4 linked regions of the Saccharomyces cerevisiae S288C genome follow. Changing the gene in region 1 together with any one later gene gives a genetic interaction. Each region holds a gene or a part of one and is shown on either strand. Other genes may lie near its edges.

Evidence for each region.
Region 2: mutations in FAU1 (region 1) and RCK1 together harm fitness more than expected from each alone (negative genetic interaction), as found in Saccharomyces cerevisiae (2 studies listed by BioGRID).
Region 3: mutations in FAU1 (region 1) and RQT4 together harm fitness more than expected from each alone (negative genetic interaction), as found in Saccharomyces cerevisiae (2 studies listed by BioGRID).
Region 4: mutations in FAU1 (region 1) and ADE3 impair growth when combined (synthetic growth defect), as found in Saccharomyces cerevisiae (2 studies listed by BioGRID, with this or other methods).

What each region holds. Positions count from the first base shown.
Region 1 is NC_001137.3:550,415-557,379, forward strand, and holds FAU1 (5-formyltetrahydrofolate cyclo-ligase), read right to left. Parts: upstream 3,556-6,965; coding exon 2,920-3,555; downstream 1-2,919. Other genes in the region: ISC10 (Isc10p), read right to left, coding at 1-113; SLO1 (Slo1p), read right to left, coding at 451-708; YER181C (uncharacterized protein), read right to left, coding at 1,059-1,382; FMP10 (Fmp10p), read left to right, coding at 2,111-2,845; TOG1 (Tog1p), read right to left, coding at 5,882-6,965. UniProt on the Saccharomyces cerevisiae protein: Only enzyme known to utilize 5-formyltetrahydrofolate (folinic acid) as substrate. Contributes to tetrahydrofolate metabolism in an alternative way of folate biosynthesis.
Region 2 is NC_001139.9:200,937-209,071, forward strand, and holds RCK1 (putative serine/threonine protein kinase RCK1), read left to right. Parts: upstream 1-6,096; coding exon 6,097-7,635; downstream 7,636-8,135. Other genes in the region: AIM14 (putative metalloreductase), read left to right, coding at 1-1,337; YGL159W (uncharacterized protein), read left to right, coding at 1,785-2,897; carbonyl reductase (NADPH-dependent) ARI1, read left to right, coding at 8,070-8,135.
Region 3 is NC_001143.9:479,077-487,176, forward strand, and holds RQT4 (Rqt4p), read left to right. Parts: upstream 1-4,342; coding exon 4,343-5,935; downstream 5,936-8,100. Other genes in the region: ALY1 (Aly1p), read left to right, coding at 158-2,905; NTR2 (Ntr2p), read right to left, coding at 3,095-4,063; DBP7 (putative ATP-dependent RNA helicase), read right to left, coding at 6,068-8,100.
Region 4 is NC_001139.9:902,472-909,968, reverse strand, and holds ADE3 (trifunctional formate-tetrahydrofolate ligase/methenyltetrahydrofolate cyclohydrolase/methylenetetrahydrofolate dehydrogenase ADE3), read right to left. Parts: upstream 4,036-7,497; coding exon 1,195-4,035; downstream 1-1,194. Other genes in the region: TDA10 (putative ATP-dependent kinase), read right to left, coding at 1-756; YGR204C-A (uncharacterized protein), read left to right, coding at 795-908; phosphatase YCH1, read right to left, coding at 4,286-4,732; PCT1 (choline-phosphate cytidylyltransferase), read left to right, coding at 5,221-6,495; YGR201C (uncharacterized protein), read left to right, coding at 6,772-7,449. UniProt on the Saccharomyces cerevisiae protein: Cytoplasmic isozyme of C-1-tetrahydrofolate synthase.

The sequences.
Region 1 (6,965 bases):
AGATCCTTGGATTTTGTAGCAGCTTTTTCCTTTATCAAGAAACTGCTTGACTTCTTTTGCGAAAAAGGGTGGGTTTGATTTTCATCTTGATGCAACCTCTCATCGACATCCATTTTGTCACTGTGTCTGAGAATCTATACTTCAGGGCCTGCTACAAGAAGTAGAAACTAAAATACAATGTTACAAATGCGAGAAGGGTTTTTTTTATGATCATGAGTGACCGCAATAAAATCTTTCGAAGCTTTTTCGAATATTTTAACATTTTTTCTCTATAGCTTCTTTGTGGCATCGCCCATGGGATCAAACCATACTGGTTTCTTTGTAAAACAGGCGCAAAATATAGAAACTCAGAAAAAGAGAAAACGAGTAGTGGAAAAATTTATCAGCCATTTATGCGACGCATCCGTTTGACTGATCTACCTATTTAAAACAGAAACCTACGTTGAAAAGTTATTTTTCCAACACATTACTGGATCTCATCAAATTGCCAATGTAATCTTCTAGATAATCATTTTCTTGCTTTAGTTGCTCACACACCTCTTGCTGCTCTAAGGTTTTATTCCACAACAAGTCTAATGTATCCTTCAGAAGTTTGGTTTGGCGCATCATCCTCTCATTTTTTGTTCCAGCTTCTCTTTCGCCAAGATTAACTTCAGAGGATGGCTGCTTGCCCGTCGGCGAGCCAGTACTAATGTTCTCCGCTGACATTGTCCTATTTGTTTGTTTGCTATTATAATTTATCTAGTCAACAACTTCGCAGATCTACAAACTGGTCCTTAAGATGTTTTATTGAAGACATCATTTTTTATTTTTTTAAGCAGAACGTGCTGTGCTCTCCCTTTTGGGCCTTTTTACGATTTTCAAAAAAATTGGTCTCTAGCGGGATCGAACCGCTGATCCCCGCGTTATTAGCACGGTGCCTTAACCAACTGGGCCAAGAGACCTGTAATCTGTGTTAAACCTGCATAAATTATGAAATCATAGCAACGTTTCAAATACTTCAGATGCCCCCATCCCTTCGTGTAGATGATGAAATGAAACTCTAGAATATCATCCATTTAGTAGCATTCTTGCTGCTGGTATAGTATCATATGAGATCTAGGAAGATGAAATGAAGCTTGAGAAAGAGTTAGCAAGTTTAATGGAAGCTGAAATGCAAGAATTGATAATGTAATGGGAAAATGAAGCATATAAAACGATAGGAAAAATAATCGTAATATTATTGTATGCAAATACCGATTAAATTTGAGGATCCCTATACCCTTGAGGAGAAGTTCTAGTATGTTCTGTATACATAGTATTGAAGCCTCTATCAACAATGGAATCCCGATAATTATCACAAAATTCACACAAACCTCAGATAAACGTAACAGTATTAGCATACATAATTATACCCAGGCTTCTCCCACAGTGCGCATGATTCGCTACGAAATCATCAATTTCACATAATATTGAGATTGCATTTGTTTTTGTTTCTTGCGTTGTCACTTTTAATTCTGCTGTATTATCAACTCCTGCACTTAGCTTCTGCAAGATAAAATGACGACTTGAGCATCATTCTCAGATTCAGTTGAAAGTTGCTGACGATTTTCAGGGGTCCCATTTCTAGTAAAACGACATTAGACATATACTAGAAGTTCTCCTCAAAAGATACAGGAATCAATAAAAGAGAATCGGCAATTCTAAATAGCATATTATTATTACTTCTTTTGCTTTGTAAGTTGTAATTTACAATCCTATTACATTATCGTTTCTTGATTTCAACTTCCATTAGATTTGATTATGACTGCCATCATTTTGGGTCACCGTACGTGAACATTGGTTTGCAACAGGAATAAAAGTCTTGAGATGTTGTACTCTGAGCAAATAAACAAAAGGAATTCTTTCTAATATTTCACAAAACTGATTTCCAAAAATGTCTCTAAGTACTCCATTAGCGACACATTTTACATTTCATTTATTTAACATAATACCTTATTTAAAGATTGATTAATTTTCGATGAGGCATACCCCTTGGCAGAAAAGGAACAAACTCACAAAGTGCACAAAGAGTTTATAAAGAAACTAAGAAAAGTAAGGAAGAGAAAGAGACCGTACCAGCAAGGCCAAGATGTTTAAAAGAATCGCAATAGCCCAGATAAGAACGTATACAAATGGCGTTGTTTTCAAGACAGCCTCTAAACCCAAAAGAAGATGGATTCCATGGACAATTTTTGGGGGAAGTTTTCTTGGAGGGTGGTACTTGACACAGCATATGACGTTCACGGACTTACTAGCTTATTGGAGATATGATGCCCTACCCAAGAACGCAGATGAAGTCGTCAAATATCACGCTGATCTGAATAGACGTTTAAATGGCCTACCCATAGTAAAACAGTTGGAGAATGCTGGTTTTGTACAAGTGATTGCTAATGAAGAGGAGAACTTGTTAGTGTCAAGGGCATTAAATACACCAGGTGGCGTCGCTATACCACCAAGAGTTTACTACAACCCCAGTAGGCGTGAAACTGTCGGGCTATACCATTTAGGAATGAAACTTACTGGTTATCCTTTCTTAATTCACGGAGGCATTTTAGCAACAGTTATTGAAGATTTAATGAAGGAGGCCATTAGACTCGAAAAAGGAACAAAAAATATAAACCAAGAAACCAAGAATTTGAGTATCTCGTACAAGTTCCCCACGTTAGCTAATCAATTTGTTGTAGTAAGAACCACCGATCTTCAGCAATACGGTAACAAAACTAAATTAAAGGCTGAACTTATGGACCAAAGTGGCAACAGGACATTGGTCAAAGCTAATGCCACGTTTTCTAGCGAACAAGGGAATCCAAAAGAAGAAAAATAGATTTGCCGTCTACTTATTTATTTATTTATTTATTTATACAATAGCTGTACCATGTAAATAATACATATATGAAATTATTGAAACCAATGTATGGATCCATCTCCGCATACTATACAATCCATGGAATAATCATGTTTTTCTAAAGGAATTGGAGAGGCCACCTGTTCCATAAGACATAGTCCAACTAGGAGGGGCTTTTGGCCTTCATGCAGTATCTTATACCGTTGGAAAAAATCGTCATAATACCCAGCACCGTGACCCATCCTTGCACCAGTTTTAATATCAAACGCCACTCCAGGCACCAATACGACATCTAGAATATCTGATTCCTCAATATGCGGTTCAGGCTCTTTTAGTTGATATGGACCTTGAGGCTTCAAATCACGAACCATTTTCAAACTACTCATTCGATGGAATATTAAATGTGGATGATGATCTTCCCGTAATTTGAAGTGTTTCGATTCAGAAGTATGAGTACATCTTGGCAGAAAGACCTCCTGGCCATCTTGAAATAAATTCTTAATGATTTCTCCAGTCGTTACTTCTCCTTTATCCATGCTCATATAACACGCTACACGCCTAGAATTGGCGGAAGCGATCAATGAGCGTACTGCTTGAGAAATAGTATGCGACTCTGCAGCGATAATATCGTAGTCAAGAGCATTTATTACCCTTTTGATTTGACGTCTCAGTAATTGCTTAGTGGCCATTAATTTTTTGTAGCTATATAAAGATAGCGTAGCTGACAGTAATTTTTATTTTTGCCATTTCAATGATTAAATATTATTCGGAAGAAATCTGAGAAAATTATATATATCCTTCAAGAGAATGAAGCTGCTAACTGATTAATAAAAACAGCTTTAATCACAAATCTCTCACGACATGAAATAAAACACCCTTGCAAACAGATGTGGAAGACTGATTGCCACAAAGCTTCGGGCTCGCAAGCAGAATGGTTTTCAGGAAGTGACTTACTAAGCTCGAATATTGTCCTAGATAGCAAACAGGCCTTTGATGGAATCAGTTTGTCTCCTGAAGGTTTTTTTGAAATAAAATGATAAATGAGAATAGCAGACCAGTTCTACGGGTAGGATTGAGATATAAAACGAGAAAGGCACTCTCTCACTGAAAAGTAATGAAAAATTATCAGAACTCCAATCTGCTGTCTTTACATCCTCGAGAATATCGCTAAGCTATCGATACTACGAATGATCCAGATACGACAGTCTTCGCTGGCGATCTTTTTGGACTAAATTTGCTCACTGATACACTAAAAAGCCTACGCAACTACACAAAGGTAAGAAACCACAATCGCTACCCATTAATCCTTATTGGCATTGTAGCCCCATATAATAGAAGTGAAAGAGTAACATTGCGCCATTTTTCGCTACTAAATAACCTCAAGAAATGTGTCCAGCTTATGGTTCCCATAGAGCGAGAATATATGACTTAAAGCATATCCCTGAGTGGGTTGCACTGGTACACACTCTGTGATGGTGGAGCACATTAATTAAAACTCAAAAAAATTATCACGATATGGACAAAAATCTAAATGGGCAAGTATCTCTCACAAAAAGACCTCACGTATTTTATGAAATTACAAATTGACGTATTTCAACCTTGTTTACTCTAAAGTTCCCCCATATAGCATAGGGGTGCTTTGGGTTTATTTAATCGTCAAATATAGTCCGATTTGTCTCATTATTCTTGTGTCGGAAAAAAATTTATTGAAGCGACTACTACCTAGATATTCTGCAATTTTTCCTATAATATAATATGCCTCACCCCAATCAGTCCCTCTTTATGACAAGAAATAAGACTACAGTGTTACATCAGATACTCCACATTCCCCCTATCGAAACCCAACAAGAGCGCTATCTCTTATACAACATTTCACAAAAAACATGTGATATGCTTTCAATTGATCCTATCAATATCAAAATTATCATTCTCACTGCATTATCCTTCATTTTCGTTAGTGCGCATCCTCCATTTTGGGACGTGTCTACCAAATAAAGAATGATGCGAGATACAAAGTAGGTGATAACATCAGAACCCGGTGTTAGAATGCAAGGTATAATCAGCAAAAAAAAAAAAAATGTGTAAAAAAAAAAGGTCGGTTACCAGCTTTACTAAATGTTTTCTATTGAATAAAATCATAGAATTCCATAAGTGACTGTGACATTTTCCACCCAGTTGATACAGTTCAATGAATTCTCACTGCAGCTATATTTTGGATGCTTCTCCACTTTGTAATATACATTGTGATGTTTCTTTGATGAAAGATATAAAATATTAAAAAAAGTTGATTCTTACATCTCATCTTTGTCATAAAAATCCTCTGGAATGGCACCTTAGAATTTCTAGGCACAGGAAACTATTCGATTTTTCTAATATATGAATCTAAGTCAAATTCAATATCTATGTTATTTCAGAAAGTGGAGTAGGTGTGCTTTTAAGAGAACGGATTTATGACGGAAAACTAGGTTAAATAGACGAAGAAAAGCTGAAGTAATTATCGTTTTGCTGAAACTTTCAGGATAATCCCTATCATAATATATTCCTATCAAGCGATGAGCAACGGAAAGCTGTGAATTGTGAATGTAACAACAAGACTATGTGAAGCAATTTTTAAGAGTTATTTCATTTAGCAATCTTTTGAGACCCGAAATACTCAAAGAACGATAAAATCGTGGGACGAATAATTAGACTAGCAACAATAAAAGGAGTAAATACAACTAGATTTGTGAGTGTGTGTAATTGCGTGTAGCTTGAAAGACTTACCACAGTGGTATCAACACCATACTCGAATCGTTCTAGATCTTGCATAAAAAAAGGACATTTACTTTTACTTACTAGTTATGAGCCACCTTTGATTTCATGGTACAGCCCATAACCTTCCTGAAAGCGGTGCATAACGTAAGGGACTAGATTAGAATCACAAAACCTTTTATTGCATTCTACAGTATTCGTCTAAATCAAGGGATTTTATTTCCTAATTGAAAGTGATCAATTGTTTAGGTGCATACTTGGTTTTTACTCTCCGAGGTTTTCTTTAGTAATACCAAATTCAGTGTCCTCCCAAAATAGATTGAGAAGGTCTGGTAGAGATTCTGCAGTCACAAAATTTTCGAGGCTACAAAAGTCCATGCCAACTGAAACACTGGTGCTGCTGGGTGACAACTTCTCATAACAAGCACCTTCTTGATTTTTTCCCTGTACGCCAATAACTCTATTATTCACCAAATCACCCATTTCCCTATCAAGAATGCTGAGAATTTCTTTACGGAAGCTTGATTCTTTGTGTTCGCCTATAATATTCCTGTACCAGATACATTCAATGTCCAACGCAGCTTGACCAGCATCTGAGCAAGCCTGGCCATATTTTTTCAATTCACAAAACAGCGATTCCTTAGCCATTTTCTGTGAACGTGTGTACATCTGACAGCAGATGCGTGTTAGGATGAAAGAAACCGCTGTTCCATTTTCCAACTTTTTAGAGAAGGCGTTGTTGCCCTTGAAATTAACATTGCCAGAGCTCACAAATAAGTCATTATATGAGGCTATCATGCGGCACATCAAGGATAAATAACATATCGAGTTCCTTCTAGGGGTCTCGATAAAATTCAAGGTAATATTCATCAAGATGGCATATATGAACCACGAACAACGGAAAATATAGAACGTATCTTCGTGCTTGAGAACATCCGTCAAAATATCTACAGATGCTTCAAAGGTTTGAAGCCTGATGTCCTTTACGCAGGAATCAAGTTCAATTCTCTCTCTTTCTTGTAGAAGATTTTGTATCCTTAAAATTAAACTCTCCATTCCCTGAAAACAACAAACCTTTGCAAATCCGAAATGGGTGTATAGTTCAAATACATTACTATTTTCAGAATATTGTTTGAGGAAAGGGATTAGTTTGTCTTGTATGCACTGAAAAATTTTACATATTTTTGAAAACTCTACCATAAGCTGTCGTGCGGTTCCATTTAGGTCTTTAGCGTTAGGAGTTGCAAATAATCTGTAGTCTGTAAAGTGTCGATTATAAAGCAAACCAGAGAATACCGCTGTAATAATTTTCGTTAATAGAATATAGCCGAAAGAGATACAAATATCA
Region 2 (8,135 bases), on another chromosome or scaffold:
ATTGCACCTACACTGATTTTATACCGTTCCATAAATGGTTTTCACGTATTATCACCGTGATTGGTTTGCTTCATGGGATTTTCTTCATCATTAAGTGGGCGATAGACGATAATGTCTCTCTAAAGCAAAAATTGATTCTGAAAACTTTCAATTTTGCGGGATTCATAATATCAATATTGGTACTTTTTTTACTTATTTGCTCGATTGGGCCAATGAGAAGATACAACTATCGTTTGTTTTACATCGTACATAACCTGGTGAACGTGGCCTTCATCTTACTCACCCCAATACACTCTAGGCCAGGTGTTAAGTTCCCATTTCTTCTACTAAACTGTACCCTATTATTCATTCATATTATCAATAGAATAGTATTTGCGAAATCCTTGATGATTTTGAATAAGAATGCGAATTATTCAAAAACAAATTTAGTCCATGTAAGATTGCCCAGGGCTATTCTTCCAGATTATTTTGAACCAGGGTCGCATATTAGAATAAGCCCTTACAGAAGAATTAATCCCCTCTATTGGTTGCTACCATCGCATCCATACACAATTGCGTCTTTGGCAGAAGACAATTCAATTGATCTTATTATAAAGGAAACCTCTACAGCCGAGCCAGGTAGCCAGATAGAGTCTCTTCGTAGTAATCCAAAATCCTTTCATTTAGATCAAGAAAAAACCTATACTTTGATTAATAGTTATCCTCCCTCTGTACCCGAAGAATGTTATTCTCAAGGCACGAATATAGCTATTATATGTGGTGGGTCTGGTATATCTTTTGCCCTACCACTATTTAGGCATTTTTTTAACAAGGAGAATGTAAAATACTTGAAAATGATCTGGCTGATAAAAGATTACTCTGAATATGAACTTGTTTTGGATTATCTCAAGACAAATGGGTTGACTTTTGAGAAAAAACTCTCGAATAATAAGAGGATTTCAGTATTTATTAGTGGAGAATACACGGCGGAAACACGGTTAGACGAAATTACGACCAATATCGACGATGAAAACTCAGAATATGAAATGGGATCTTTCAACAATGAAGACGAAGACCTTTCGATTTCTAATTTCAATTCAGAAAATGCGGACAGCAATGACAATACGCCAGAGACAAGTCATAGCCCCACAAAAGAGAATGGAAGCATGATCGAGGTAAAATCCAAACACAGTTTTACTCTTTCCAACGAATTGAAGAGCTTCAACAATGAAAGTGCACAAGTGAACCAAAATGAAACATGGTTGTTTTCATGTGGTCCTCCCTCGTTATTACAATTGTCTAAAAAATATTGTAACGATGAAAGGATCAACTTTGTCTGTGAGACTTACGGATTATGAGGGGAAAAGAAAAGAATAATAATGTCTTACGCAATATGCTCGGAAATGATATTCCACGACATTAGATGCTAATTTATAGTATATAGAAAACAAAAAATACATATCTGTTTTTTAATGACCTTTAGTTTATATGCTTTCTTGCGCGGCTATTAGAATACACTTGACAGGTTGTACGCATTATTAATCGGTAAATGGAGATATATTAGAGATGATCGTTTTAAAATGGAGGCTGTCTGCAAAAAAATTGGGAGCTACATTAGCAAAAAGCTTCTTTTCTTGTTGTTCTCGGTTTATATTTCAAGAGGGCAGTAGGAAAAAGGATCGAAAAGCTCGGCCTGTGGCCATGTCCTCTAAAAATCAAATATAATTTACTGGCCAACGTTATCGGCTCTTTTTGATATCTATCATCTCTTTAGCTATTGTTATCTGGCAACTGATTCAACTGATATGAACAATTCCATAATTACTGATGATGAGGTTAGAGAGTTTTACTTAAACTGCTCTTCTCAAACAATTATTGAATCTCTTCTCAGCTTGCACGAGTCATTGAGATTATATTCTCAAAACCATGAGATACTGCTCAATAGGATGTTCAAAAAATTGGATGAAACCAATGCAGACTCTAACATATCCCATATATTCATGCCTGTTGTGAGCAAGGATTTTTCAGGAATAAAAATTCTTGTGAATAACAACAACAAAAATTTTCAAGGTGTGATAAATGTTATTGAGCCTGAAACAGGAAAATTAATCGGATGTTTTGAGGCTAAACAAATTACCGCTATAAGAACTGCCCTTGCATCGTGTATCGGTTTATATAAGCAACTCTCATGTTCCCATGATAAGTTGTTTAGATTTGAAAATGGCACTTGCTATTTAACATGTTTTGGTACCGGTCTCCAAGCATTTTGGCACATATACATAGCTATTAAACTAATCATGTCAGGGATTGTTGGCGAATCTTTGAAGTTAGTTGAAATAAACATACTATATCACAATAACATGATGAGTTTGGATCGTTTGAAATCATTGAAAAACTTATTTGGAAGTAATATAAAGATAGAGCTTAATCAGTATCAAATAAACGACATCAGTTCAGAAGGTAATGGCGCTGTTTCTAACAGTGATATTATCTTTGGTTGTCTACCTACTCTAGAGCCCAACTTGTTTTTGAGGCAGTTGCTAAACAGTAAAGCTTCTGTGGAGCAGAAACATACTTATATCTCATTAATTGGAAGTTACAAACCAGTGATGCACGAATGCGATAAGGAGTTGATTGATAAGTTCAAATCTGATAATGAAAGCGCTTGCATTTTGGTAGATTCAAGGGAACATACTTTATTGGAATCTGGAGAATTAATCGATTCCAATATCGCTCCACATAATCTCATCGAAATTGGTGAATTAGATACTTTGAAAAACACAGTTTTGAATTTGAACGAAAAGGGCTGCAAAAGAACTATCACCTTGTGTAAAATTGTTGGTCTAGCGGTTATGGACGTGGCGCTTGCTAAGGAATTCTTAAGCTTGAGAACAAAAAACACAGAAAACAAGGAATAAATTGCATCTTGGCTTCTAGTTTTTTTATATTCAAAAGGGTTCTTAAGTGTTTTTAAATATGATACTTTTTTTAATATCTTACGATCCGGAAGAGATTTTTGATGTTTACATATGAGCAGTTTGATAGAAATTTTGCAATTTTTTATATTTATTAAAAGAATAAAAGTAAAGTGCAGAAAGAAAACAACATCATAAAATATGAAAGAAAAAAAAAGGCAATGTTAGTGTTATGAAGGGAGAAACAATTACCGTATACTGTTTGCAGGTGTCTATCCTCCACGGTATAGCACGTTAGGACCATTTATTCGCGCTACGGATATAGAGTTTAAAATGACTTAATTACATGAATAATACCATAATTCTTATAACCGTCATCAATCTAACGAAAGCTAGGAGCAATTTTCAACATGTATTTCAAGAAATTAGCAATAGAAAAAGAATTGAACAGATATGAAGATTTTTGCCATATTTTAAAGAGAGGCTGGTGACTTTTCTCTGTCGATCTGTGCATAGCCAATATTAAAGTTATTTTTCATTAACGCGCATATGGAAAATAGACAAATGTCATAGGGTTATAGTTCTTAGATTTACTATTCTCTATTTGATGTCGGCGAAACAATGTTCCTGTTTTTTAACCATATTTATGTTCCACCTCGATAGCCGCTGATTATTAAAAAGATGTAGGCTTGTATGGAAATTTTCGAGACTCCATTTTTGGACGAAAGCAATGAAAATTATATACAGAATATTCCAGAAGATCACCTCAAAAATCCAAAAATATGATCAGTGATTTAACAAGAAAACCGAAGATTTCTATTGTTCCTTCGAAATTTTTTCAGTTTTATGTTCAATCTCTATGTTTTTCTTAAAATGATAAAAGGTCGTCCAGCTTGGTGAAGCTTACATTTAAATTAAATAAATTGGTGTGACTGAATAGAATAGCGTCCTTAATAACTAGAGATTACATTGTAGATGAATAACAACTAATTAATTCAAAAAAAGTAATCGTTAACTATTTCCGGAAGAAACAAAGGCTCATTATCAAATTTGATGATCACAACCAATGTGTATTTAAATAAAGGCCAATATCTCACGGTCTGTTGAATCTAAACTAACTATTGAAATATTCATTTGTTCAGAAAAAAAGATCATTAATATTACATGTACTGATATGCTAACAATCCAAAAATGCTTATACTACATATTGTTGTACACCATGGGTACCGTTAAATGACAGTGTAAACAATTGCAGAAGGAAATGTTACACTAGCGGTTAAACAATACTGAATTAAAGATTTTTTAGTTGAATATGATATGACAGTTATATACGTGAGCAATATAAGTCCCCACATTGAGTGTATGATAACTACCGGAATTACTATCATATTGTTCGTAAGCAATAATAAATCAATTAGTGTGGGTGTTTTATACCTCTCTCATATGAGTATATAAAGATCCTTATTTAATTTTGATTATACTATCTTCTAGCCTTCAATTATCGACATCGCTCACTTGAGCAGTTCATCTAAGAAAAAAAGAACTATAGCTAAATAACCCAGTATTATTTGTTTCGCTGTAGGTTGTTGCACAAGGGTTTCTTCTGTGAACATTTTGAATTGTACGCTTAAGATGATAATACCTAACTGATTCCAACCTATATTAGTAGAACCGAAACATACAAATAAGTGGTTGTTTGGCCGAGCGGTCTAAGGCGCCTGATTCAAGCAATATCTTGACCGCAGTTAACTGTGGGAATACTCAGGTATCGTAAGATGCAAGAGTTCGAATCTCTTAGCAACCATTATTTTTTATCTTTTTGGTTCTGTGATCAAGCTACCCGCGTTTGAAGCCGACTAAAGACGAGAAAAATTAGACCTTCATTTTTGCCTGTTTGCTGCATGTAAAAGAATGTTGGTTGAACATGTCGTTTAAGAGAAGAAATCGGGTACGGCGCTCTGGCTTTTAAAATTGAAGAAATTGGTGTTCTTCCGGTTAATACTTTGAACTCGGCTTTTCTTAACATGTAATAAAGTTTGTTACATCTCCCATAATTAAGTTTCTGGAACACGCATTGTTCTATTTTTAGACGGGAGACCAGAACTTCCTGATATATGACCGCTTTTTAGTGACTACGTATACTTTCTTTCTGCAATTACGTGTAAGAAAAAATTGATTTTTTATTTTTAAATTCACGGAATTTCAGACTGTGAAAACTTTGTAGTTCCAACTCACTTTGCTATGCAAGAAAATAATGAGGGGAAACAAAAAAAAAATGAGAGCGGAGAAAAGAACAATGCAGCTCAAGTATGAAGAAGAAAGTCACAGCAACGGAAATAAAAATCAAAATTGCGAAAATTGACAATCTTGACAATCGAAGCGGAAAAACAATGGAAGGTCCAGATACCTGTTGACCTTAAAAATGCAGAAAAATCGCCTTTATACGGCGACATTGTGAAAAATGACGTTAAAATCTTGTACATAAAAAAAGGGAATTACAAACTTGTAGTGTTTTTTTTTTTTAGGGGACTTGCATGAAAGTTAAATTTTATAGAAGTAATTAAATAGTCGATTTCCTTTCCTGTGTGTGACGAATCTAGATTTTTTTCATGTAAGAGACCCCGCCCTGCGGAGAGGGGCAAACAATTCTAGCAGAAAAAAATCAGTGGAAAAAAAAAAGAAATTCCGGATATGATAGAATATTTCTTCGAGAAACCTTTTGGATGAGGAGTGCCCTTCCATGAAGAAATTCTTCCTGCATCAGCACCTTCCCGGCAAGGCATTTCATTTTTTTTTTCCGAGAAGAAGATTTTTAAGTGGGCTACCCCACGCTTTCGGTGCCTATGGTAGCTGCATGATCACACAATGCACTCCCATTAAGAGTTTGTGAAGTGCATGAGATTGACATCTCGGCGTCCCTTAGTTTCCTGTCGGATTTTCAGTTATATGGAGTGGGTGAAGTCATTATCCGAATATTCGCGGATCATTGACGTATAAATACTTCATACTACTTCATACCAGATATTTCCTACATGTTGAAAGTCAATTGAAAAAAATAAATCATCACTTAACTCTTTTCCAGTGACACATCGCAAAGATTACTCAAATAATCTTCCTAAAACAATACTACCAGCATCTATTTCATGCAGCACCAAGCACAGAGGCTACATATCATATAAAATAAGTCATCATAGAGAAAAAAATGTCAGTAAACCCAGAATTTATAGCCGATGGCATCGATTTTTATCCAACAACGCCCGATGCCGCGTATTTCAATGCCGCTGATGGTAAAAATAAAGTTAACAGGATAAATGGTAACTCAGAAAATTTACACCACTCCTTTGCATCGGGTTGCCGTAGATCATCTCTTTCAGTCGACTTTAATGTTACCTCGTCCGATTCAGAAAAAAGTGAACAGAGCTGCTTGGAAAACAACTCTCAAGAAGACGAATATTTTTGTGACATTTTTTCCACTGAATTAAAATTAGATGAAACTTCTAACAAGTCAACCGATTATTCCAGTTCAAATCACCAGTATCCTGAACAACTGGAGTTGCACAATTATAAACTGCTCAATAAAATTGGTGAAGGGGCATTTTCCAGAGTATTTAAAGCAGTAGGCATCAACACGGATGACCAAGCTCCTGTTGCCATCAAAGCAATCATAAAGAAAGGCATTTCGAGCGATGCCATCTTAAAAGGGAATGATAGAATCCAAGGTTCCAGCAGAAAGAAAGTCTTAAACGAAGTTGCCATCCACAAACTGGTTTCGAAAAATAATCCGCATTGTACAAAATTTATCGCATTCCAGGAATCGGCGAACTACTATTACTTAGTGACGGAGTTAGTCACAGGTGGGGAAATATTTGATAGGATCGTCCAACTAACATGCTTTAGTGAAGACTTAGCTCGTCATGTCATTACTCAGGTAGCAATTGCAATTAAACATATGCACTACATGGGTATTGTGCATCGTGATGTCAAACCAGAAAACCTACTATTTGAACCTATCCCATTTTATGGCCTTGATGGGGACATGCAAAAAGAAGACGAGTTTACATTAGGTGTCGGCGGAGGCGGTATTGGTTTAGTGAAGCTAATGGACTTCGGACTAGCCAAGAAACTTCGGAACAATACCGCAAAAACTCCCTGCGGAACGATAGAATACGTCGCATCAGAAGTATTCACCTCCAAACGATATTCCATGAAAGTTGATATGTGGAGTATTGGCTGCGTACTATTCACGTTATTGTGTGGATATCCTCCGTTTTACGAAAAGAACGAAAAAACATTATTGAAGAAAATATCGAGAGGAGATTACGAATTCTTGGCGCCATGGTGGGACAACATAAGTTCTGGCGCTAAGAACGCAGTTACCCATCTTTTGGAGGTTGACCCAAACAAGAGATACGATATCGATGACTTCCTAAATGATCCTTGGTTAAATTCGTACGATTGTTTGAAGGATTCAAACTCAAATTCTTATGCCAGCGTGCAAAGCATACTAAATGATTCATTCGATGAGAGAGCAGAGACCCTACATTGTGCATTAAGCTGCCAATCTGAAAAACAAGATGACACCGAGTTTTCCAGAAGTGAAAGCTCGGAATACATATTTATGACGGAAGAAGACAGAAACCTACGGGGCAGTTGGATCGGTGAGCCAAAAGAGTGTTTTACCTTAGACCTTGCAACATCTTCTATATACCGAAGAAGGAAGAACAAGATATTCTTCTGGTAAACTCTTATCCAGTGGAAAACGCACCCAGCATATTCGAAAATATATCAACTGTCTCCCCTTTTTATACTAATAATTAATAGCATTCATATTGAAATAATAAAAAAGATACGTTTAATATTTACGCCAGCTCTCTAGTTACAGTTTCCTAACGCATACGTCATCAATTTGTTAAGATCGGCTTCGCTCTATAAAAATGTCGGCCGAAATTAGCATAGGATTTTCCGCGGTTCCGACCCCTATCCTAGAAACACGGAAAAACTTGCGAATAATTCCGGAATTTATTCTATGCAACTTTATGAAGACAAATTACTATAAATGAACCGCTCATTCAGAAAAACTATGTCTCGAGCTCAATGGATCTTACTACATAGTTTATAAAAACAGTAATTGTGCATTGTACAACTGTGCTAAACAGACTTAAAAAAGTAATAATTATGACTACTGATACCACTGTTTTCGTTTCTGGCGCAACCGGTTTCATTGCTCTACACATTATGAAC
Region 3 (8,100 bases), on another chromosome or scaffold:
GACTCTTTTGTCTTATTTCGCTATCCCCATCTTATCAAAAATGGGAACAACTCGTTGAAATAAGAGACAAGCAACAAGAAAGACAACCAACAGAAAGTTCCATTCCGCACAAATACGCTGGAATCCCATAGAATATTGCTTGTTCCTCTATGACTACATGCTCCAATTCAATACAGAAAATGATACTGTAGCTCCAGTGTTTCCCATGGAGCAAGATATAAATGCAGCACCTGATGCCGTCCCACTGGTGCAGACAACAACACTACAAGTCTTTGTAAAGCTTGCCGAACCCATAGTGTTTTTAAAAGGATTTGAAACTAACGGACTGTCTGAAATAGCCCCCAGTATCTTACGAGGATCTCTTATCGTCAGGGTGTTGAAACCGAATAAATTAAAAAGTATATCGATAACCTTCAAAGGAATATCCAGAACAGAGTGGCCGGAAGGTATACCACCGAAGAGAGAAGAATTTTCAGATGTTGAAACTGTTGTCAATCACACATGGCCATTTTATCAGGCGGATGACGGCATGAATTCTTTCACCTTAGAACATCACAGCTCAAATAATTCGTCCAATCGCCCATCTATGAGCGATGAAGATTATCTACTTGAAAAAAGCGGTGCTTCAGTATATATCCCACCAACCGCTGAACCCCCTAAAGATAATAGCAATCTAAGTCTGGATGCCTATGAGCGCAACTCATTGTCATCCGATAATTTGAGTAACAAGCCAGTATCAAGTGATGTTTCCCATGACGACAGTAAACTGTTGGCTATTCAAAAGACACCATTACCATCATCTAGTCGAAGAGGATCGGTACCGGCAAATTTTCACGGTAACTCTTTGTCACCTCATACCTTCATATCTGATTTGTTTACAAAAACATTCAGTAATAGTGGCGCTACTCCAAGTCCTGAGCAAGAGGATAACTATCTTACACCATCCAAAGATTCTAAAGAAGTTTTTATTTTTCGACCGGGCGATTATATTTACACTTTTGAACAGCCAATATCGCAATCTTATCCAGAAAGTATAAAAGCCAATTTTGGTTCCGTGGAGTATAAACTGTCAATAGACATAGAGAGGTTTGGCGCATTCAAATCAACTATACATACTCAATTACCCATCAAAGTCGTAAGGCTTCCTTCTGATGGATCCGTAGAAGAGACTGAAGCTATTGCAATTTCCAAGGACTGGAAAGATCTTCTTCATTATGACGTGGTAATTTTCTCGAAAGAGATCGTTTTGAATGCATTTTTACCCATCGATTTCCATTTCGCTCCTCTAGATAAAGTTACTCTGCATCGTATTAGAATTTATCTAACAGAGTCTATGGAATACACTTGTAATAGTAATGGAAATCACGAGAAGGCTCGTAGATTAGAGCCAACTAAAAAGTTTCTGTTGGCTGAACATAACGGTCCTAAACTGCCTCATATACCAGCTGGTTCGAATCCTTTGAAGGCTAAAAATAGAGGGAACATCCTCTTGGATGAAAAATCCGGCGATCTAGTTAACAAAGATTTTCAGTTCGAGGTGTTTGTCCCAAGCAAGTTTACAAACAGTATACGGTTACACCCTGATACAAATTATGATAAAATCAAAGCCCACCATTGGATAAAAATTTGCCTTCGTCTTTCCAAGAAGTACGGGGACAATAGAAAACATTTCGAAATAAGTATTGATTCTCCAATCCATATTTTAAATCAACTATGCTCACACGCGAATACTTTGCTACCGAGCTACGAGAGTCATTTCCAGTATTGTGATGAAGATGGTAATTTCGCACCAGCAGCAGATCAACAAAATTACGCAAGTCATCATGATTCCAATATTTTCTTCCCAAAAGAAGTTCTTTCGTCTCCCGTTCTTTCACCTAACGTGCAGAAGATGAACATTAGAATACCGTCTGATCTTCCAGTAGTGCGTAATAGAGCTGAAAGCGTAAAGAAAAGCAAGTCAGATAATACCTCCAAGAAGAATGATCAAAGTAGCAATGTCTTCGCATCCAAACAGCTGGTCGCAAACATTTATAAGCCCAATCAGATTCCAAGAGAATTAACTTCTCCTCAGGCGTTACCATTATCGCCCATCACCTCACCAATTCTCAATTACCAACCATTATCAAACTCCCCGCCTCCAGATTTTGATTTTGATCTAGCTAAGCGCGGCGCAGCCGATTCTCATGCTATTCCTGTGGATCCTCCATCATATTTTGATGTATTAAAGGCCGATGGGATTGAATTGCCATACTACGATACAAGTTCATCTAAAATTCCTGAACTAAAACTAAACAAATCTAGAGAGACATTGGCCAGCATTGAGGAGGACTCATTCAATGGTTGGTCTCAAATTGATGACTTATCCGACGAAGATGACAATGATGGCGATATAGCATCTGGTTTCAACTTCAAGCTGTCAACCAGTGCTCCGAGTGAGAACGTTAATTCACACACTCCTATTTTGCAGTCTTTAAACATGAGTCTTGATGGGAGAAAAAAAAATCGTGCCAGTCTACACGCAACATCAGTGTTACCTAGTACAATAAGACAGAACAATCAGCATTTCAATGACATAAACCAGATGCTAGGCAGTAGTGACGAAGATGCCTTTCCCAAAAGCCAATCATTAAATTTCAATAAGAAACTACCAATACTTAAAATTAATGATAACGTCATACAATCAAACAGCAATAGTAATAACAGAGTTGATAATCCAGAAGATACAGTGGATTCTTCAGTCGATATTACAGCATTTTATGATCCAAGAATGTCATCAGATTCCAAATTTGATTGGGAGGTAAGCAAGAACCATGTTGACCCAGCAGCCTACTCGGTTAACGTTGCTAGTGAAAACCGTGTACTGGACGACTTTAAGAAAGCATTTCGCGAAAAGAGAAAATAAGTACATTATTTTCATTCTCCGACAGAATTGCTACCATTTTACTTTGTGTCCTGTGATTCAATAGTGTACAATATATTGGACATTTTATAGTATACAAATATACACCATCAATCTATACATCCATATCACTTGTCGTAAAGATATCCCTTTTTAATAGTACAGCGATTAAAAAAATAACATGATTAACGTTCAGTTACCAATGAGCTTATTTATTAGGCTTGCTTTAGATTTTTCCAAGTCAATTTTTGTTTTTTCTAACGCTTGCAACCTCATCTCAACCTTCTTCCTTTGCAAGCAGATCTTCGAAACCATCTCGTTTATTCTCTCAATGCTGTTCCCACTTTCATCATCGTCTGGGAAAAGTACCGGTAAGGGCGTGATGATTTTCTCATTCGATTTGTTTATATTTCCTTTGCTTAAAAGCTGGGTTTCCCATTCTTCATTAGTTCTGTAGGGCACTTCATTTATGGCCTTCTCTATAATCTTTCTTTTAGAATCCTTTTGAATAGCAATTTGATTATCCGTGAGGGCTAGCATTTCGTCTTGAAAGCCTTGCATTTCATCGTCACTGAAGTTCGTAATCTCCTTTTCATTGTTACGTTTCAGACCACCATTTAATCTTATTGTCTCCATAATTTCGCGTTTATCCTCACTGTCCAACAATTTTACATAATCTCTTTCTGTTGTAACATCACTCTCACTAATTTTCCTTCTAGATAATGACTTCTGTGCTTTCAGTTTTGCAATTTCTCCTCGGGTTGGTATACTACTAATGTGCTCACCTTCGGAGCTACTGCCAGCCTCTGAAGAATCACTTAATAGATGATGATTCCCCTCCATCAAGTCCTCCATATTGAGAATTAGCAAATCATCTTTGTTTCGCGTCGATGCATTGGTATTTTTCTTTGAATGGTAAAGATCTTCATAATGCGAATTATCCTCCTTTATTGCTTGTTCGCCATCAAAGGTAATGTCGCGCTTAGGAACTTTTTTAAACTTTATTGGTTGTAATACACAAATGTCGTTGTCATCATCTTCAGAATCGTTCGACACTAGGGGCTTAATTTGCTGCATTGGCTTATGCGCAGAACCATCAATTCCAACCTCCTCAGGAGAACCACTTGGTAACCTAATTTTATTTCTTTTCTTGATCGCCATAATGTGTTCAAATGCTATAACATTGCTAGGCAGAACTTGACGTAACTCGACCAGTTATATTGCTTCTTCAAAGCACAAATTTATGATGATTGCTTTCAGTTATGAGGTTCATTTCGATATTCTTTATGATCTTCGCTTGCCGGGTATCGGACAAATATTGAAATATTATACAGCAAGAAAGAGGCATAAAGAGCCTGGCAGCAGCAAATAATGGCAAAGTGAACGTAGTCCGAGAAACAGTGGCTTAATTATTTAACCTTGGGTTTGCAGTAATTAATAATGACAAGAAAGCAGGCTATTGACTATGCAATCAAACAAGTTCCGCAAATATTGCCTTTGGAAGAGTCTGATGTAAAAGCGCTGTGCGAACAAGTACTGAGTACATCATCTGATGATCCAGAACAAATTGCTTCAAAATTTTTGGAGTTCCTAGGTCATGAAGATCTATCGTTTGAATTTGTAATGAAGTTCAATGAATTATTGAATCAGAATGATAAAAAAGAGGAAAAAAAAACGAAAAATGTGCATCTTGAACATACTGCCCCCACTTCATGGAAAAATGAATCAAAACAGCCCACTAATAACTATATCAATAAGAAGGGAGATGAAAAACCAAAAAAATTAAAGGATGAGAAGAAAAGCTCGACAACGAGGCCTACCGTTCAACCATCAAATCAATCTACGCAATCAAACCCCATAAAGGAGAAAAAAGAGCACAGATCAAAGGGGAAATTACAATCGTTACAAGAAATAGACGAAGCAATCAAGATGCTAGAGCTTCGAGATAGCGGTTCTTCTAAAAATTGTAATTGTCAAGGTACAAGGCATCCAGTTTTCGACATCGCGCCAAACTGTCTTCACTGTGGTAAAGTGGTTTGTGTTATAGAGGGATTGAATAAAGGTAAATGCGGTCATTGCCATGAACAGTTGATTTCTGATAACGAAAGAACCCAAATGGTAGAAATTTTAAATCAGGAAAAAAACGAACTAAACGGTTCATCATCGTCCTTATCCAATGCGTCAAATGGAGCTAATGTCCCAAAGAAGAAGACTAAAACCTACAAAATAACTTCCGGTATGGGTAAAAATTTATTTGCTGAACAGGACAAATTATTTGATTTCATCGAAAGGAAAAGAGAAAGAGAAAGAAAGCGTAATGAAGTGTTGAAATTGCAGGAGGAAAAAGAAGAGAGCGAAGCAAAGGAAAGACAAGCGAGCGAGCATGACCATAAAGCTGAGGAAAACCCGGAGTTGTTAGCAGCACAAGAACGATTAGATAGACTTTTATATTTCCAAGACACTTCGGCAGAAAGAACAAAAATTATTGATAATGCCAGCGATTTTGACATGAATCAGGAGGTGGGTTTATGGGGCAGCGCAAGAGAAAGAGCTCTTGCGTTGAAGAAGCAACAACGTAATTTGAGAAAGTGGGAAAAAGTAGAAAAGGAACGGAATGGCAGGCGCGAGAAGTACGTTGTTAGCATGAATATAGGTTCAAACGGTAAAGTTACTATGACAGAAGTCCCTAAGGATACAGAGAACGTAATTGCAGGTTCAGATGATGACATCAGTGATATAAGTGACGAAGAAGATATCAGCGACCTTAAACATATACACGCTCTGAAAAGTGAAATAAATACAACGAAATCCTTGGAGAATTTGCATTTACAGTCCAAAGCATGGGATTACGAACGTGATAAAAAACAATTCGATAGGCCTACGTATGTGAAAAAAAATTCAGATACTGCACAACAGAATAGAAAAACGGAAGAAAAGGCTCACGACATGCAAGCTTATGATTTAAAGTCAAGAGTACAAGTGGACCAAAATGCAGACGCATCAGTAGAACAGAATATTCTTGCTGTACTTTGATGAATGGTAAAAGTTTATATTATATATGATAGAGGATATAACCGTTATTCATTTTCTGTAGATTTTATCATTTTCTTTGTCTTCATAGTATACAATTTTTTTTTATATGAATTAATGCTTGTTCTTGTCTATTTAGTAGTTAAACTCACTTGCTATTTGCTTCTCTGCCATACGAGCCATACGAAACATTTTATTTTTAGAGTTTTCCTTAGTTGGCTTCTTTTCACTATTACCATCCTTACTACTTTGCAATCCCATAGCCTTTGGCCTTTCACGTAACCCAAAACTTTTAGCTAAATGGCCTAGATGTAAGAACTTCACGTTGAAAAACTTCTTTTCTTGAGAGATATGCGTTGCGTAAGCCCTCACATGACTAATGAAACCTTTAACGGCCAAATTTTTGAATGCGGAATCTCCCACTACTCGTCTTTCTATATTCAAATGCCATGTCGTAGCATTGGTATCCCACTCATATTCTTTATCGCCCACGTCTTTATTTTTGGACGATTTCTCATCTTTTCTAATGAATTTATCATTTCTGTTGACATTCACATCTTTGAAAGCCGGCATTAGTATTTCTTTATCGAATTTCAGTAATTCCCAACCCATCGGATGATACGGCTGGATATAGTCCATATATTTTTCTTCTTCGCCAGGAAGTAAAAATAACAAACTTTCACCCTTCTCACCGGCCCTTGCTGTACGACCAACTCTATGTAAATGGTCTTCAACAGCAAATGGTGGATCCAACTCAATAACAGATCCAACGTGGGGAAGGTCTAGGCCTCTACTTGCGACATCTGTACAGAACATAATAAGATGTTTTCCCTTGGTGGCTTCATTATCACGAGCAAAATGCTGCAATGTAGAGGTTCTCATTTGTTGGGATAAAGAACCGTGCAATTTATAAATCACTACATCTGGGTCCCTAGAATCTGAAAAACAAGGAAACATAGTGTTTCCTTTTGTCAATAGTCTTACAGAATCACCCGTTAGATTTTTATGGTGCCCGTCACTTCCTGAAAATGCGTCATAATGAAACTCCACGCTGTCTGAACATGATACGAATACGATTGTACGCAGCGTTTTGGACTGTTGACCGGAAGCGATGAAATCTTTGGTAATGTTGTTCAAAGTAGCAGCTAATGTTACAAGACGCAACTTTGGTGGGACAATAGTAATCCTCTGCAATAGTTGATCGGGCGCAACCGTTACTATATCAGAATCTTTCTTGGTACCGTTGCTAATCAATTTGTAATCTTTCAACGCCACGTTTCTTAACCTATTAACACCATCAGTAAGTGTAGCACTACATAACATGTGCACTAACTTATGCGGTAGCTTGGGAAATTTTTCGGAGTTGATGGGAATATCGTGAACAATTTTAATAATTTCACTGATCGTCTCATCAAAACCCAATTCCATTAACTTATCTCCTTCATCCAATACGATATACCTTAGAGATTGACTCAATTGCTCCTTGATAACTTTTGTATTTTGTAAATGATCCAAAACACGACCTGGTGTACCGATTATGAAATTGCAACCCTTACGCAATCTAGCTTTTTCTGATTTCTTACGTTCTCCACCAATCAATAAACATGGGACCAAGTAGTGACAACATGACACAAGCGTGGAACAAACATGATATATTTGTGATGCTAGTTCTCGTGTAGGAGCAATAACCAATGCAAATGCACCAGAAGTACGATCAACATGAGTATCCATGTTCAAAATAGTAGATATTATAGGTAAAAGATACGATAAAGTCTTACCTGAGCCTGTTTGGGCGTGAATGAAAAAATCGTTCTTCCCCGCGTTACCTATTATTTGAGGTATGGCCTGCTTCTGGATGCTCGTAGGCTTTTTAATACGCATTTTTTGCTCCAGATGAGAAACAAGAAGACTAGAGACACCTAAAGACGCAAACTGATCACCTTTCAAGGGCGCGTTAGACGGATTGATGGCAACGTTTTCATCATGAATATTAGTGTTTACCGCAGTTGTAATCTCTCTGTTAGATGTAAACAGGGATGAAACAAACTGAGAATCGGCTGGTAGAGTTCTCCCTTGAGTGTTATGAGCATTTCTACCCTTATATTTTTCCTGCTCTTCAGAACTATAGGAACTCTCCTTATGCAATTTTTTAATAGAATTCTCGCCTC
Region 4 (7,497 bases), on another chromosome or scaffold:
ATAGGAGGGCATGTATCTATCCACAAAAGCATGCACTTGTTCGTCGGTCATCCCCTTTCCGACCTTTGATATTAGTTCATGCTCCTGTTGTAGTCTCCAGCCATAAACATTGTTAATGTTATCGGTGGTGAATACTATCCCTAAAGATTTGATTTCTGGGTTGCGCCACAACAAGTCGCTATAGAAGAAGAGCTTGGCATTGACATCAACCATGTCCCCAGTAAGAAGATCATTATTCTCAATTCCTTGCAAAATGGGGTTGAACCCGAGGAACCAACCTTCTAAGATAAAAATATCGACTGGTAGCTTGATTTTTTGACCAGTGGGGCAACGGTCCCCTTCTCCTTTAAATTGGGATTTATCGTACTTGGGTAGTACGACAGTATCTTGATCCGGATGTTCATTATTATTGAAGATGGTGTTCAATACCTCTTGCAACAATTTCATATCATGAGTACCTGGTAAACCACGTCCTTGTAACAGCTTATTGTTCTTGAATTGCTCATTGAGTTTCAATTGGTCCTCGTGAGTTAAATAAAAATCATCAATTGAGGCGTAACCGATAGATTTTTCACCCCCATATTTTTCCATCAAATGGTTATAGATTTGGATACTTGTAAAACTTTTGCCTGAGCCTTGTGGGCCCGAGAAGAAAATGAACAAGGGGCATTTATTTCCCGTCTCAAACCATTCAGGTATATATTTATCCAAGAATTCTATCGTGTAGTCCAATACCGTTTTTGACTTATCACACATTTCTAGCTTTACTACTTTTTATATTATTCACTTCAGAGATGCAATGGAACGCTTTTTCCTTTGTGTCTTATGTATATCTTCGTTATTTTATTTCGTTCCGCCCAAATATTGTGCTAGCCAGTGTTCGCTTGTCTTGGTATAGTATCATTTAGATTGCTAAAAGTTTCATACATTTATTGTTCTCATTAATGCGTCTCCCCGCTTCGTTTGGTAATTAGGTTTTCTCCTCCTTAACGGAATCGGAAATTTTCGACGTTAAGGAACTGGGGTTAAATTAAAGGAAAAAGGGTCGCGGAACGTTAAATCCCCTGTGTAAAAAAAACTATAAATCATTATTAGTCCCAATAGTGTTCGTATTATCGTTATTATTATTATACATCCATACTTTAAAAAAACTTTTGCATTTGTCTTTATTAAATTCTATATAATTAAGTTGTCTTAGAACAGGCCATCGATCTCACCGTCATCATCGACTTCCACGGCCATGTAACCAGCATAGGTAGCCAAACCAGGAATGGTTTGTATTTCGGCGGCAAGAGCGTATAAGTATCCAGCACCATTAGACAATCTGACGTCTCTGATGGGGAAAGTGAACCCGGTTGGAACACCTTTCAAAGTTGCATCGTGGGATAAAGAGTATTGTGTCTTGGCGATACAAATTGGCAAGTTACCGAAACCTTGTTCCTTGTACATGTCAATCTTGCGTTGTGCTTCAGGCAAGATATCGATTGCGGCACCACCGTACATCTTTTGAACGATAGTAGTTAATTTGTCTTCAACGGAGGAGTTAACGTCATATAGGAAATGGAAGTCCACTGGTTGGTTGGAAGCTTCGATGACGGCCTTGGCCAAGTCGATAGCACCTTTACCACCTTCGGCCCAATGGTTAGAGGTTACGGCTTCAAATGCACCAGCTTCCAAAGCGGCTTTTCTAATGGCGGCTATTTCACCTTCAGTGTCAGTTTCAAACTTGTTAATTGCGACAACGACGGGGACGCCAAATTGCTTAATGTTGGCAATTTGTTTACACATGTTAGCGGCACCTTTTTCGACAAACTCGATATTCTCTTCAGTGTATGCGGAAGGTAAAGGTTGGCCAGGTTTGACATCTGGAGCACCACCGTGTGACTTCAATGCCCTAACAGTAGCAACCAAGACCACAGCATTAGGTGTCAATCCAGAGGAACGGCACTTGATGTTGAAGAATCTTTCACCACCCATAGTGAAATCGAACCCTGCTTCAGTAACCACATAACCAGCTTCTGTTTTTGCCTCTGGCTCGGTACCAACCAATTTCAAAGCCACGCGATCAGCAATAACAGAAGAGGCACCGATAGAGATGTTGGCAAATGGGCCGGCATGGACCAAGACAGGAGTACCTTCTAAAGTTTGCATCAAGTTGGGCTTGATAGCGTCTCTTAATAAAGCGGTTAAGGCACCGGTACAACCCACATCTTCAACAGTGACTGGAGACCTGTTTACGTCAGCAGCAACAACGACTCTTCCAATACGTTCCTTCATGTCCCTCAAGTCCTTTGAAAGAGCAAGAATAGCCATCAATTCAGAAGCAACGGTGATATCGAATCCAGTAACTCTTGTGTGGTTCTTCTCGGTAGGGGCTTGACCAATGGTGATTTGTCTTAACATTCTGTCGTTGATATCGACCACCCTCTTGATAGTAATAGTGTCCGGGTCAATGTTCAATCTGGCGAATTTGTTGATCTCTTCGGGTGTTAGATCATCGGGGTTGGTCTTTTGAATACCCAGTCTGTTCAATCTTCTTTGCATGGAGGGAGTAAACTTTCTCTTTCCGTTCTTTCTAGGCACTAGTCTGTTGTAGAAGGTAGCGTCGTTCTTTTGAGTGGTCTCATGGAACATTCTAGTGTCAATAGCGGCAGCAAGTAGGTTGTTAGCCGCACCAATGGCGTGAATGTCACCAGTCAAATGTAAGTTGAATTCGTCCATTGGGATGACTTGGGAATAACCACCACCCGCAGCACCACCTTTGACACCTAAAGTGGGTCCTAGGGAGGGTTGTCTGACGTTCGCAATGGCTGGCTTGCCCAAGTGAGCCGTTAGTGCCTGGACAAGACCCATTGTTGTAGTGGATTTACCCTCTCCCAGTGGTGTTGGTGTGATACCAGACACCAAGATGTACTTACCATTTTGGCGCGTCTGCAGCCTTTCGATGACTTTAGGAGAAATTTTGGCCTTGTAATGTCCGTACAGCTCCAACTCATGAGAGTAAATACCCAATTCTTGAGCAAGCTGGTTGATAAGCTTTGGCTGTTGTGCTCTGGAGATGTCTATATCGGAAGGAACAGGTGTTAGCAACTTCAATGGCAAGGGAGGAATCTGCAAAGGCTTCGAGGATTCTTCCATTTGGCGTTTGGCAGCAATCAAGGTATTTTGCATTAACATAGCCACCGTCATGGGGCCCACACCACCGGGCACTGGAGTGATTAGATGGACGTATTTGATTGCTTCATTGAACTCAACGTCACCAACACATTTGAAACCGGACTTTTTGGAAGGATCAGCAACGTAGTTGGTGCCAACATCAATTACCACGGTTTTCTTATCACTGGAAGTGCCGTCTCTTGGTTTGAACCATTCACCCTTCACAAATTCTGGTTGGCCGATGGCAACGACTACGATGTCCGCGTCGTGTAAGTATGATGCGATATCACGGGTTTTAGAATGAGTGATGGTGACGGTGGAGTTTAGAGATTTTAACAATTCTGCAACAGGAGAGCCAACAATGTCAGATCTTCCGATCACAACGGACCGGGAACCTTCAATCGTGACGTTGGCCTTGTGAAGCAGCTCAATGATCCCCTTGGGCGTGCAGGGCAAAAAGAATGGGTGTCCGTTCTTCTTATTCAATTCGCCAATGTTGGTGGGCCCGAACCCGTCCACGTCCTTTTCTGCCAACACTCTCGAGGTGATTCTATCCTCGTCCAAATGAGCGGGTAATGGTAGTTGCACGATAATACCGTGTGTATGTGGGTCCTCATTCAGCTGGTCCACGTAACGCAGAACTTCAAATTCAGTAGCGGATTCATCTAAATGAATGAAATTAGCAACAATGCCGGCCTCTTCAGCTGCCTTACGCTTCATGCGTACATATGTGGCTGAGTCTGGTCTGTTGCCTACTTGAATGATGGCAAGGTTAGGTGCAAACCCAGGCACGTGACCTTGAATGCTTTTGATTTCATTAGCAATATTGCTTCTAAACTGCTGAGCGCATGCTTTGCCGTCCAACACTTGACCAGCCATGATTTCTTATTTGACTTGTAAAGTTGTGTTCGTCTCGTTACCTGGTCTCACAACTTCAATTGAATGGTATCGCTATCGTTGTATTGTAAACGAGTCTATATATAATAAAAAGTTACGGGTTATGGAGAGCGCGTATATAATGAATGAATGACTGACCATAGTACGAAAGCGATAAAGAGGAAAAAAGAACAAAATTGTCACTGGGAGGAGTCATGGCAAATATATGATCACGTGCGATTGTGTAAACCTGTCAACGCCACAGATCGGGTAGGTAACCCGCCGTAACGCTCTCGTCGTCACCGTATACGGATTGCCAGCGCGAGAACCCCCCACGCAACACCCATAGACGACAGCGAGAAAGTTCCGCCGTGTCAAGCGACCGAAGCAGCAGCATCGCTGCAGACGGTCCGCGCTGCTGCGATAACATACAATGGAAAATCACGTTCAGCGCTCCGCGGCCGTCCGCTTGCTTTTCCAACAATCTGTGCTTTAGCTCACGTAAGTACTCCGGATCCTGCTTAAGGCGCGAATAGGCGTAGTGCCATCCGTCCTTGATATGGCCCCCCATATAATCTGAGCCTCGCACATCCACTACCTGGAAAGGCTCCCTCAGCGTAGTAGTGTGTCCTTCTTGCATCCAACGATGCAATTCAGTCGGATCCAGGTATTTTACGTTTGTTATTGAGTACGAGTCCATATTTTTTTTGCAATTGACTTCTCTTTTGCTTCTATCTGGCTGCACAGCTATCTATACTGTGCTGAAAACTGTATGTGCGGAGGAAGTAGAAAGGCTAGCGACAGCCAGAAAGAAAAAAATGGAAAAAAGGAAAGGGAAGAACCCAATAAGCGAAATGTGCATTACCCGTATTTGTCGTTTGCATGTAGGAAGAAAAAAATGAGTCGAAGACCTACCGTTATATAGTCATTCTTTTTCTTACGTTTTTACGCTTCGTTTCTTAACGCTTTTTAATAAGTATGAAATATATATCTGGTATTGGTTTTAGTACAGTTACCATTGTTTGTTTCTCCTGTTTCTTTTATTTTTTCTGCCGTTCTTGTATTTTTTATACCCATTCCCCTTTCTTGCATACGCCAGTCACTTTTCTTTATTGTATTGTTTAACTTTCAAATTTCACTCTTGCTATTCTCTCTTGGTAGTACAAAGCACAGCAGACACAAAGAAAAATGGCAAACCCAACAACAGGGAAGTCCTCGATTAGGGCTAAGCTTTCTAACTCATCGCTATCAAACCTATTTAAAAAAAATAAAAATAAAAGACAGCGTGAGGAAACGGAAGAGCAGGACAATGAGGATAAGGATGAGAGTAAGAACCAGGATGAAAATAAGGACACACAGCTCACTCCCCGCAAGCGTCGCCGGTTGACGAAGGAGTTTGAAGAGAAGGAGGCTCGTTACACCAACGAGTTGCCCAAGGAACTGCGCAAGTATCGTCCTAAAGGTTTCAGATTCAATTTGCCTCCAACGGATAGACCCATCAGGATATATGCAGATGGTGTTTTTGATCTTTTCCATCTTGGCCACATGAAGCAACTGGAACAGTGTAAGAAGGCTTTCCCCAATGTAACACTGATAGTTGGTGTGCCTAGCGACAAAATCACTCACAAACTAAAAGGTTTGACTGTGCTGACCGATAAGCAGCGTTGTGAAACTTTAACGCACTGCAGATGGGTTGACGAAGTCGTGCCCAACGCTCCCTGGTGTGTCACCCCAGAATTTCTACTAGAACACAAGATTGACTACGTGGCACATGACGATATTCCTTACGTTAGCGCCGACAGCGACGATATCTACAAGCCAATAAAGGAGATGGGAAAATTCTTGACTACCCAAAGAACCAATGGTGTCTCTACAAGTGATATTATCACAAAGATCATCAGAGATTATGACAAATATTTGATGAGAAACTTTGCAAGGGGTGCTACCAGACAGGAGCTGAACGTTTCTTGGTTGAAGAAAAACGAACTGGAGTTCAAAAAACACATCAATGAATTCAGGTCATATTTCAAGAAAAACCAGACAAATTTGAATAACGCCTCCAGAGACTTGTACTTCGAAGTCCGTGAAATCTTGCTAAAGAAAACGTTGGGCAAAAAACTCTACTCCAAGTTAATAGGCAATGAATTAAAGAAACAAAATCAACGACAAAGAAAACAGAATTTTTTGGATGATCCGTTTACTAGGAAGCTAATCAGGGAGGCCTCTCCGGCTACAGAGTTTGCCAACGAATTTACGGGCGAAAACTCTACCGCTAAATCACCGGATGACAATGGAAATCTTTTCAGTCAGGAAGATGATGAAGACACAAATTCTAACAACACGAATACAAATTCAGATTCAGATTCAAACACTAACTCAACGCCTCCCAGTGAAGATGACGACGACAACGACAGGTTAACTTTGGAAAACCTAACACAGAAGAAGAAACAATCAGCGAACTGAGCCCCTCCTCCAATCTCTGTGCGTCTCTTTCTCTCTCCCTTCAACCAACCCTTTTTGTCGCCTCCACGTATAAACAAGCGTATGTACATATTTAAAGATATAATAAGATAAAAAGCTGTTTTTCCTGTAATGCAACCGTTTCCCACGTATTCATCCCTTTTAATAGCCGCACCTTTAAACGATACCACCCCTTATAAAAGCCTAGATGTAGCAGTGCGAAGCGAACTCGATACTTGCTCATCATTGATTTCGGCATCTTTGTGTAGAAAACTACAAATGTCTGACGGAACACTGTTTACTGATTTGAAGGAGAGAAAGTTGATTAGGACCATTGTGCCAAGAGGTTTAGTGCGTTCCTTGAAGCTGGACGTTAAGCTTGCTGATCCAAGTGACGCTCAGCAACTTTACGAAAGGGAGTTTCCCTTGCGTAAGTACCCAACTTTTGTTGGACCGCATGACGAGTGGACGCTTACAGAGGCAATGGCTATTGACTACTACTTGATCCATCTGTCGAGCGACAAGGAAGCTGTGCGCCAGTTGTTGGGTCCCGAAGGTGACTTCAAAACTCGTGCAGATATTTTAAGATGGGAATCGCTTTCCAACAGTGATTTCTTGAATGAGGTTTGTGAGGTGTTTTTCCCTCTAATTGGCGTAAAGCCATATAATGCCACTGAATTCAAAGCCGCAAGAGAGAATGTCGACACCATTGTTTCGCTTTACGAGAAAAGGTTAAAGAAACAGCAATACCTTGTCTGTGATGACCACGAAACTCTTGCTGATTTAATCTCAGCGGCTGCTTTTTCGCTAGGGTTTATAAGTTTTTTCGATGAAACATGGAGGTCTAAGCATCCAGAGGTTACGCGCTGGTTTAATCGAGTAATTAAGTCCCGCTTTTTTGAAGGTGAATTTGAGAGTTTCAAAATGTGTGAGACTGAGATGCAACCCATTAAATAAGAGTATAGTGTATAAAGATCAGTATAATTTATAGCCTGGGTCGGTCCT